Linked DNA regions of Mus musculus: region 1 is reported to be linked to region 2. The links are microRNA targets in miRTarBase. Many come from high-throughput screens and were not tested one by one. Region 2 holds a microRNA gene; the other region holds the end of a gene's coding sequence.
The links. The annotated mature microRNA mmu-miR-3095-5p reads AAGCUUUCUCAUCUGUGACACU and lies in region 2 at 1,529-1,550, shown strand. An mRNA with a match to its seed (bases 2 to 7 or 8) in the 3' UTR can be bound and repressed. Matches are read on the target gene's strand: a 7mer-m8 pairs with bases 2 to 8, a 7mer-A1 pairs with bases 2 to 7 and ends in A, and an 8mer does both.

Region 1: the mRNA of Cdyl2 is a reported target of mmu-miR-3095-5p. Seed matches in the 3' UTR shown: 7mer-A1 at 1,449-1,455.

What each region holds. Positions count from the first base shown.
Region 1 is chr8:116,571,502-116,575,894 of GRCm38, reverse strand. Cdyl2 (chromodomain protein, Y chromosome-like 2) reads left to right here. Exons shown (of 7, transcript NM_029441.3): 7 at 608-4,393. The coding sequence ends at 766. Among named protein-coding and RNA genes, the nearest start is that of Gm31367, 32 kb to the left of the region's middle.
Region 2 is chr4:58,438,221-58,442,613 of GRCm38, reverse strand. Mir3095 (microRNA 3095) reads left to right here and starts at 1,516; the gene lies at 1,516-1,602. All of the region lies in intron 3 of Lpar1 (lysophosphatidic acid receptor 1), which reads left to right.

The DNA of each region.
Region 1 (4,393 bases), not on the chromosome of region 2:
ATGAAAATGACTCTGTTCATCATCCATGGGGCCGCGTCAAAAAATGGTTTGCAAACTTGGTCATGAAACCCATAGGCAAATAGCACCAAGAGGCTGTGTGGACTCAGCCCCATGGGCAAAGTGCTTGTTGTGTAAGCATGGAGACCTGCGATTGATATTCCAGAAACTACATGTATAATGTGTGTGTGTGTGTGTGTGTGTGTGTGTGTGTGTGTGTGTATGTATGTATGTGTATATATGTATATATGAGAACCTGTGCTGGGAAGGAGTATATATATATATATATGTGTGTGTGTGTGTGTGTGTGTGTGTGTGTGTGTGTGTGTGAATATATATATATATGTGTGTATATATATACATATATATACACACATATATACATATATATACACACATATATACATATAATATACACATACACACACACACACACACACACACACACACACGGTACCGATCATATGTCACCTTAGGCAAGGCCCCCGAGTACCCTGCTTCTCTCCCATAGCCATCTCATGGTCACAGGCTCAACACCCTGACCACCTGAAGCCCCTCAGGACAGTGCTCAGCCCCAGGGAGAGCTAACCCAGCATGCGTTTCTTTCCAGGTTTTGGAGGAGTCCAAATGCCTGGTCCGAAGCTTCCTGAAGTCAGTGCTGGAGGAGGTGAACGAGAAGGAGTGCGTCATGCTGAAGCAGCTCTGGAGCTCCTCCAAGGGCCTGGACTCCCTGTTCAGCTATCTGCAGGACAAAATCTATGAAGTCTGAAGGGCCCCGGCTCACCTGCCCCCACTTGCTCAAGGGTCTCAGACTCCCAGCCGGGCCCTGTGTGTGTTTCTACCATCGGAGCCCAGGGTCCACCCTAGCCAAGAGTTTGTCGGGGTGTGTCTTCACACCTACGGTTGTATCCATTCCTCGTGCCCTTCGGTTGTTCCTCATTGGTTTGATTTTGTGTAAAGGTGGCAAACACAGCACCCTTGGCCTCCCTGTGCACCCTGTCCCAGCCAGCCATAGAGCCTTCCAGGGATCCATCTTCTAAGCGCTCCGCCAGGCCCTGTCGACCTTTCCCCCACTAGCTGAAACTCTCCTACCTTGGTCCAGAAGGGGGAAGACCAACCTCCCTCATCCTCCCGACTCAGTCTGTGTCTACACAGTGCCTCCAACTTGGAGATGAGGCCATCACAGTTCTCTGGTTATGTGATCTGGGACCAGGGAACGATCGTCTTAGGGAACCCACAGACCAACGAGCGTGCGGTAAGCTCTTGACTACATAGGCCTGGCTTCAGTCTTCTCTCCAATGCAACTCGGTGTGACTCTTAGGGCTTGGTCTTAATACCCAACTGAGTGATTTACAAACCCAGATATTGTACATTTAGAAACGTTTTGTTAAATATATATTTTTAAAACAACGTGTAAGTGGAAATTCTGATAATTTATGTGTATTATATGTAAAGCTAGTTTTGCAAAAAAAAAAGAAAAAAAAACAGAAGAACATGACTTACTAGGAAATTTTTTTCTTTATTTGGGTTTATTTTATTTATTTATTTTTGTTTATATATTATGAAGCCTATTGTTCACACAGATCTTATTTTCATACCACCCTGGACCAAATACTATTCAAGGTGCACGCCGTTTGGTGCGTTCTTGCGGTGAGCCACGTGGAAAGAGAGAAGAGAAGGGATTTTAAAAAGGCACAAGCCTGTGCCAGACCCTCTGTGTGCGGCTCATGTGACAAAAATGCCAGTTCTCTAATCTTCAAGGACAAGTCACGGTGGCATTTTCTCTCTTAGTCTCTGTCATTCAGGAGAATGGTGGACTCTGCTCTGTGTCAGCCCCGTCCCTAAAGTCGTGATGTTAGGAAGGGATGGCGAGCAGCCCGTCTTTAGGATGATATATTGCCTAGGGTGAGACTTTTTTTTTTTTTTTTTTTTTGCTCTAGGATAAATAAGTGAACTTGGATTTCCAAGACTTTTCCTTCCATATGAACTTTACTGTCTTGGTTGGCCTTCTGGGGGTGTTGAGGAAAAAAACAAAACTCAGTCCAAACCTGAACAATAAATCTTTAATTTTTGTTTTTTCTTTTTTAAGCTGAGAGAATACAAGCAAAGCCTTATCCAGCATGTAGGTCTCCTTGCCCCACTGGCCCTAGCCTACTGGAGCCTCCAGTAGCTGACTTTATGTCATCCAGTTGGAAGTCTGCACTGGGGGAGAGTTTGGGTGTGAGTTGATGAAGAGATGGGAAATGGAAGGGACCTGTCGTTGTGGTTGGGACCTCACACCTATTTGAGATCATGTGCTTAGAGAAAATTAGACCATGGGGCGTGCGTGGGGTTCCAGGCTAGTTCTAGATGGGTGACAACCTTGACCGCTGTTCTTTCTCTTCAATTCCCTCTGAGTTTCCCAGCCTTTCTCAGCCCTTCCTTGGTGACAGCCGGGCACAGCGCAGAGTCTGCACAGCTTGTGGAGGGGAGGTGGGCTGCAAAAGTAGAGATGGTTCTCTTTGGCTGCCCTTGAATGGGAATAGCTGCCCCAGTCACAAGTGGGAGGGATACATGGCCCTAAGCTCTGAAGGATGCAGACAGTTGAACGTTTGCATGAGAATTAGTGACCTGGCTCTAGACTATGGCTCCCGCGTATGCACATGGCTTTGTGGGCCTTAGAATGACCTTGCTTTGCTCTATAGAAATGCTTTAGAGCTCAGAAGGGTTCAGGAAGAAAAGAGTTTAAGTCCCTATTCTCCACCAGCCTGTGCCACCTTGGCCATGGGGAGCCTGAGAGTACAGTCACCTTGGCTGTATTTGGTCACAGGAAAAAGAAATTGGAGCATGTGGCCCCCTGGAGTCCCTATAGAACACTGTAGGAGCTGTGGGCTGACTGGGGTGTAGAGAATTAAGGAGCCTGAGCCTCTTGTCCCTTCTCTGCTGGGATGAGCTCCATGTACACTTAACCCCACGCCCTTAAGACATCTCCTGTTCTTTACATGTCTGAGTAACTCTTTCAGATCGCTGCCTCCTCTATAGGAAACACCTCCCCCAAACCTTTCTGATTAGCTTCTGATCAAGCCAGTTTTGTCCATAGGGAAGCAAGTTGTCAGGATTCTCTCTAGAAATAGCACGGGATGTTTAGAAATCCCTGTGATCAGCAGTCATCTTTGACTCCTGAGCATACAACCAGATATGCTTTCTCTCTTGGCCATTTGATGGGCGCCACACTTCCGAACATACTGAGGATCTGTGATGACTGAGGTAGACACTGACCATTTCTGAGGTGGGATTTACACCCCTTGTTTTTAAAGACTGTGTTCCGTCTGTTGGAAGGAGGTAGATCTGCCACATGGACACAAGGCATTTAGTCAACCTCCTGGGCTGGCCAAACCACAGGAGTTGGCATTTTCAGGCTGGCTGTTTGGGTAGTGTGGAGTTGGAATCCAGGTGACCCACATATAGCAGATTGAGCTGGGATGGAAAATTCAGTGGTTGTGTCCAGGTTACCCCCAAAGCTTTATTGAGGTCAGGTGCTGGCTCTCTCATCTTTTTACTTTGTACCCCATTGTCCTCTCTCCTCCCATGAGGTCCTTTTGCTTGACCTGTTACTCTCCTTGTTCCTTTTCCTACCACCCTTTCCTAGGGCCCAAGTAAATCTTTTGAGGAATTTTAGATGTCTTTGCAGGCCTGGTGTATGTGTCCCTATTGAACTTGGAAGGGCAGCTATGAGTGAGAGGTAGAGGCTTCCTCTTCTAAGTCAAGGTTCCCTCTAGCAAGCCATTTGAGACTCTCCTCTGTTTACCACAACCTTGGTGGTGGCAACTCCCATATGACCCGGCTGGGGTTAAGTGCTCAGATCCCAGGCGACTTTTGAAGAGTTATGGTTAAGATGGCCAGACCACCTCAGCACTGGGAAGCCACCACCTAATGTGGGTGTTCTTGGGTGACCCTTTACTGGGCAGAAGTAAAGTCCGAGGGAAACACATATGCAGAGAAAGGCGGGGACTGGGGGAAAATGGGGAAATGACGTAAAATCTTACTCTGTGGCATAAATCAAACTGGGAAATATCCTCTCGGAAGCGGGAAAAGATGATTTCCCTGAGTGAAGTTCAACCTGAGGACGGGAAAATAATGACAGGAGACACTGGGCAAGGCATATTTAAATCTCCGAATCCCTCTTTTACAAATAGCCTTGACTGAACGCTGAGTCCTATCCCTCACTACTAACTGCTGGTTTCCAAAATCCTCTTAAAAGGTTTGTTAAAAAACAAAATTCTCTCTCTCTCTCTCTCTCTCTCTCTCTCTCTCTCTCTCTCTCTCTCTCTAGTTTGGAATTTAGTCCTATCCCCACTCTTTTTCAATCTAATTTCTGTTGAAGTTTTTTTTTTTTGTAAAAAAATAAAAATTAAAA
Region 2 (4,393 bases):
TAGAAAAAACGACTGATTCAGAGAGCAGGCAGTGAACGCCTTGCTTGGAGGGAAGGTGTGGTCACGTGACTGTGCTCTGCAGCTGGGACCTGTTGTTCCAAAGCTGCCCATTTCCTCCCTGACCCTTGCACCAGCATTCCAGGGTCTCTTACATTTGTTTTCGGGCAGCAGGCCCTCCCAGATTGCTTTGACAGACTATAAGAAAGAATCCAAGCTGGTTCAAGGACAGGCAACCCGCAGATATATTTTGAAGCCTCCTGCTTCCACCTTCTTTGTGATTGTGACAAGTTGTAGGGAACTTTCTATTCACCGAGAGGCATGGTTCCTGGGACTCAACCTTTGAGGAGCCTAGCAGGGTGCTGGACTTGCATTTTATTGATGGAAGTGGTGAGCAACAGTGGACAGCTTCTTGCTCTATGTTGCTGCCCAGATTCAGGCTCTACTTATTCTTGTTTTAGAAACTAGAGATACACATATACATGCACACACACACATGTATGCATACAAACACATATACATGCACACACATTCACACAGATATACCCAGACACATACACACAGATACAGACACACATACTCACACACATACATACATACACACTCACACACAATCACATATACTCACACACAGTCACACACACTCACTCACTCACTCACACACATATACACTCACAGACACACAGATATACTCACATACATACACTCATATACACAGACACGTACACATATTCACATATACTCACATGCACACATCACACATACATATACATACACACAGACACACACATACAGATATACAGACATTCTCACACACAAGCACTTGTATACACAGACACAATCATGAACACACAATCACACAATCACATACACACACTTATATACACACATAAACACTCAGACACACATAGATACACAGACACAATTCTCTTTATCTCCATCATTTCCATCTTTCGCTGTCACTAATCTGTATCCTAAGTGAAAACCTGACCGTTGAGGCCAGTAAGATTACAGTGGAGGTCATTATTCCTTATAAGTCTCGTTTGCATCATTGTTACATGTGATACAGGCTGAGAACCAGTTCTAGGCTGGAGAGAGAATGTCTTAGCCTGATATACCAGGTCTTCATGACCTTAGACCTCGTATCTTCTGCACTCCTGGCTTTACAATATGGAGCCGCAAACTGTATTTTCTCTCTTTCATACTGTTCCATACCACTTTTCAGGTTTGTGCCTTGGTCTGTAGAGTCTGCCATCAGAAGTAGGCCAGAGATAAACAACACCAAAGCAGCCTTGGCTCTGGAATTGTATATTATTTTTAGTTTCCATCTAGTCAAGTGTGGCACTAAGAAGCTGCAGAGCCACGGGGAGCGGTGTCACTTCCTCTCTTCCTTCCTTTTCTCGTGTTCAACTCTGAGTCCTGGGACTGTCTGGGAAGATGTGTAGCTAGTTCTGAGAATGCCAAGCCTTCATGGTTCGTATCATGCTCTCCTGCTCTTCCTCGCCGAGGATCCACCCAGAGCCCTGTGCACAAGCTTTCTCATCTGTGACACTCGAGATGGTTTCAGGGAGTGGACACTGGAGAGAGAGCTTTTGCAAGTCGCTCCTCATGCCTTGTGGGGTAGGAAGAGAGCTGTTGCTTCTCTGCTTCACAGATAATGAAATAGGGGTTTGCTCAACTCATCCACACGTCTTACAAGGACATAACCAAAACTACAGTCTGGACATAGCCTGTGATGCACCTCTGGAGGGTGACCCCACTCAGCTAGAGCTAAGTACTTATTTAAACACACACACGCACGCACACACATACACACACACACACACACACACACACACACACACACACACACACACACACACAGATGAGACTGATTCTTAGAAGCTCAGAGGGAAATTGGTGACGTGAGAAGACTTGATTTCAGACTATGCATTCTCTATGATTTAGGAGCCTGAACACCTTGGACTTTCCAGCCCCCTGCTCCTCTCTTATAATACACTGTTGTCTTTGGGTCAGTGTGATCCAGGACACCCCAAAAAGAGAAGGGAAAGGGGAGAGGAAAGGTCCACATGATCACTTTTTGTTCCTCCCCCTTCCCCCTTCCCCCTTCCCCCTTCCCCTTTTCCCCTTCCCCCTTCCACCCTCCCCCTTCCCCTCCACCCTCCCCCTTCCCCTCCCCTTCCCTTTCCTTCCCTTCCCTCCCTCTCTCCCTCTTCCTTTCCCCTCCCTTCCCCTCCACTCCTTTCCCTTCTTTCTTTTCTTTTCTTTTCTTTTCTTTTCTTTTCTTTTCTTTTCTTTTTCTTTTTCTTTTCTTTTCTTTTCTTTTCTTTTCTTTTCTTTTCTTTTCTTTTCTTCATTCATTTGTTTTCAGAGTGGGGTTTCTCTGTGTAGCCCTGGCTGTCCCAGAACTCATTCTGTAGATCAGGCTGACCTCGAACTTAGAAATCTGCCTGCCTCTGCCTCTCAAGTGCTGGGATCAAAGGTGTGTGCCACCACCACGCAGGCTAATATGATCAGTTTTTAATGTGGATTTCTGAGGCTATCACTGAGACATTTGATTGAATCATGAAGAGTCTGAGACAGTGTGGTTGGCCTAATCACAGTTATAACAACAGTTCCTTCCAGTGAAGAACGGAGAGGACTCCAATTCCTGCATGAAGTGTTCACATAGGTTAGCTTCTGTCAGGCTGGAGCATTTCCCATTTCCTGTGGCCAAATCTAATAGGGTGCTTTTTTTTTTTTTTCTGTCTAAAAGTGAAGTCCAAAGTCTCTTTTTTAAGGCCATCTCTTTCCTAAGAGGACCTTGTTCTTCTTGAATTTTTGCATTTTAAGAAATCATGAACAGCCCATGACAGTACTTAGATCCTCTTCTGATCAAAGTGAAGCAGCCTGGGAAGAAGGGTGTTTCCTCTCTGCCGCCCACAGGGAGAAGGAGGTAGTTTTATTTAATATATATCTGTCTGTGCTTGTAGCCAGCCAAGCTCTGAATTTGAGCTCAATGAGAGCTTTGATAAAGGGAAGGGGAAAAGGAACATTTAGGATTGTTTTTCCATTCATGACGAGTGTGTGTGTGTGTGTGTGTGTGTGTGTGTGTGTGTGTGTGATAAGTAGATGAATAATGAGACTGTGCACTTTCCCATCCAAGCCTTTTCCATCCTGAGAATGATTTCTTTCCTGGCTTCTCGATGAATAAGGCATTATTTCTGAAACCCAGGAGGCATTCTTTTGATTTCCCTTCATGTTTAACTTTCTGAGTGATTTTCAATAAAGGAAATTCAAGGGCTTGGAATGAAGGCTCTCTTAGCATTTTTATTGAGGGTCAGATAGAGCCGTGGCTATTATCTGCTGATATTTGGAATATTGTTTTCCCTCTCTGAGGAGTGTCTAAGGTATTGTATTTATAAGAAAAACGAAGCACCTTGGATGGCCTTCAAAGTGAACAGCAGTCTAAAACCAATACACATAGGTGGTACAGAACAAAGAGCTTTATACGGTATTTTTCTTCTTGCTCTATTTGTATTTCCCCGCTGAAAGGGTGCAAAAGGAGATGGGGGAGGCTCTCACATTCAAAGCTGGGCTGTTTGGAGACTAAATCACATTTGTTTTCTTTTTATGAACTCATTCCTTGAGATTGGTTCAAGCTGAAGACGCCACTGAAACCTGAACCACTGTGTGCATCTGAAGATTCAAATGCGTGTGGGGGTTCTCCCTGCTCACCCTCTCTCTGTTCACTACGTAGCTGATTATCCAATGGGGGGGGGGTAGCTGAGGTGTAATGGCACACACTGCCCCACTGGATTGATTCCTTCTGTAGAAGACCCCCAGCGCATGCCCCGATTACACAGTCATCAAAGCTAACGAATCATTTCATGGCTTTCATGTTCCCTCAGATCCAGGTGGAATGCGATCTCAGAAACTAAATAAGAAGGGATATTTTTTCTCATCTGCATTTCCAAAGCAATCATAATTATAGAAAAATCTGAATAATTCAGAGTAGTAGTGGGTGAGAAAGCAGAGAATTGACCTAGGTTACAGGGCAGCTGAAATATAAGATTTGGTAATAAATACTTAACTTTATAATTTGCAAAAGGTGGAAGGATAATGTGGTGCTTTCAGGAATGTGGATGCCAGAGCCAGCGTCCAAGGGCATAGACTCTGTGATTTGATTCTTGTTTATCACCTCACAGGGTCCTAGTTTTTTAAGCAAGGTATTTAATCTTCCTGGGTCTCAGTTTCTCTGTCTGTACAGTGGAGTTTTAGCTTGCCTGCTACGTGTGCACATTAGGTGAGTTATCCTTTATAAAATGTACACAAGGACTGTGATTGTTGGATCAAAAACTAAAGCGTTCATTATTGGCAGTTGCCTATTCACATGCCACAGAGCTTGGGATAACAA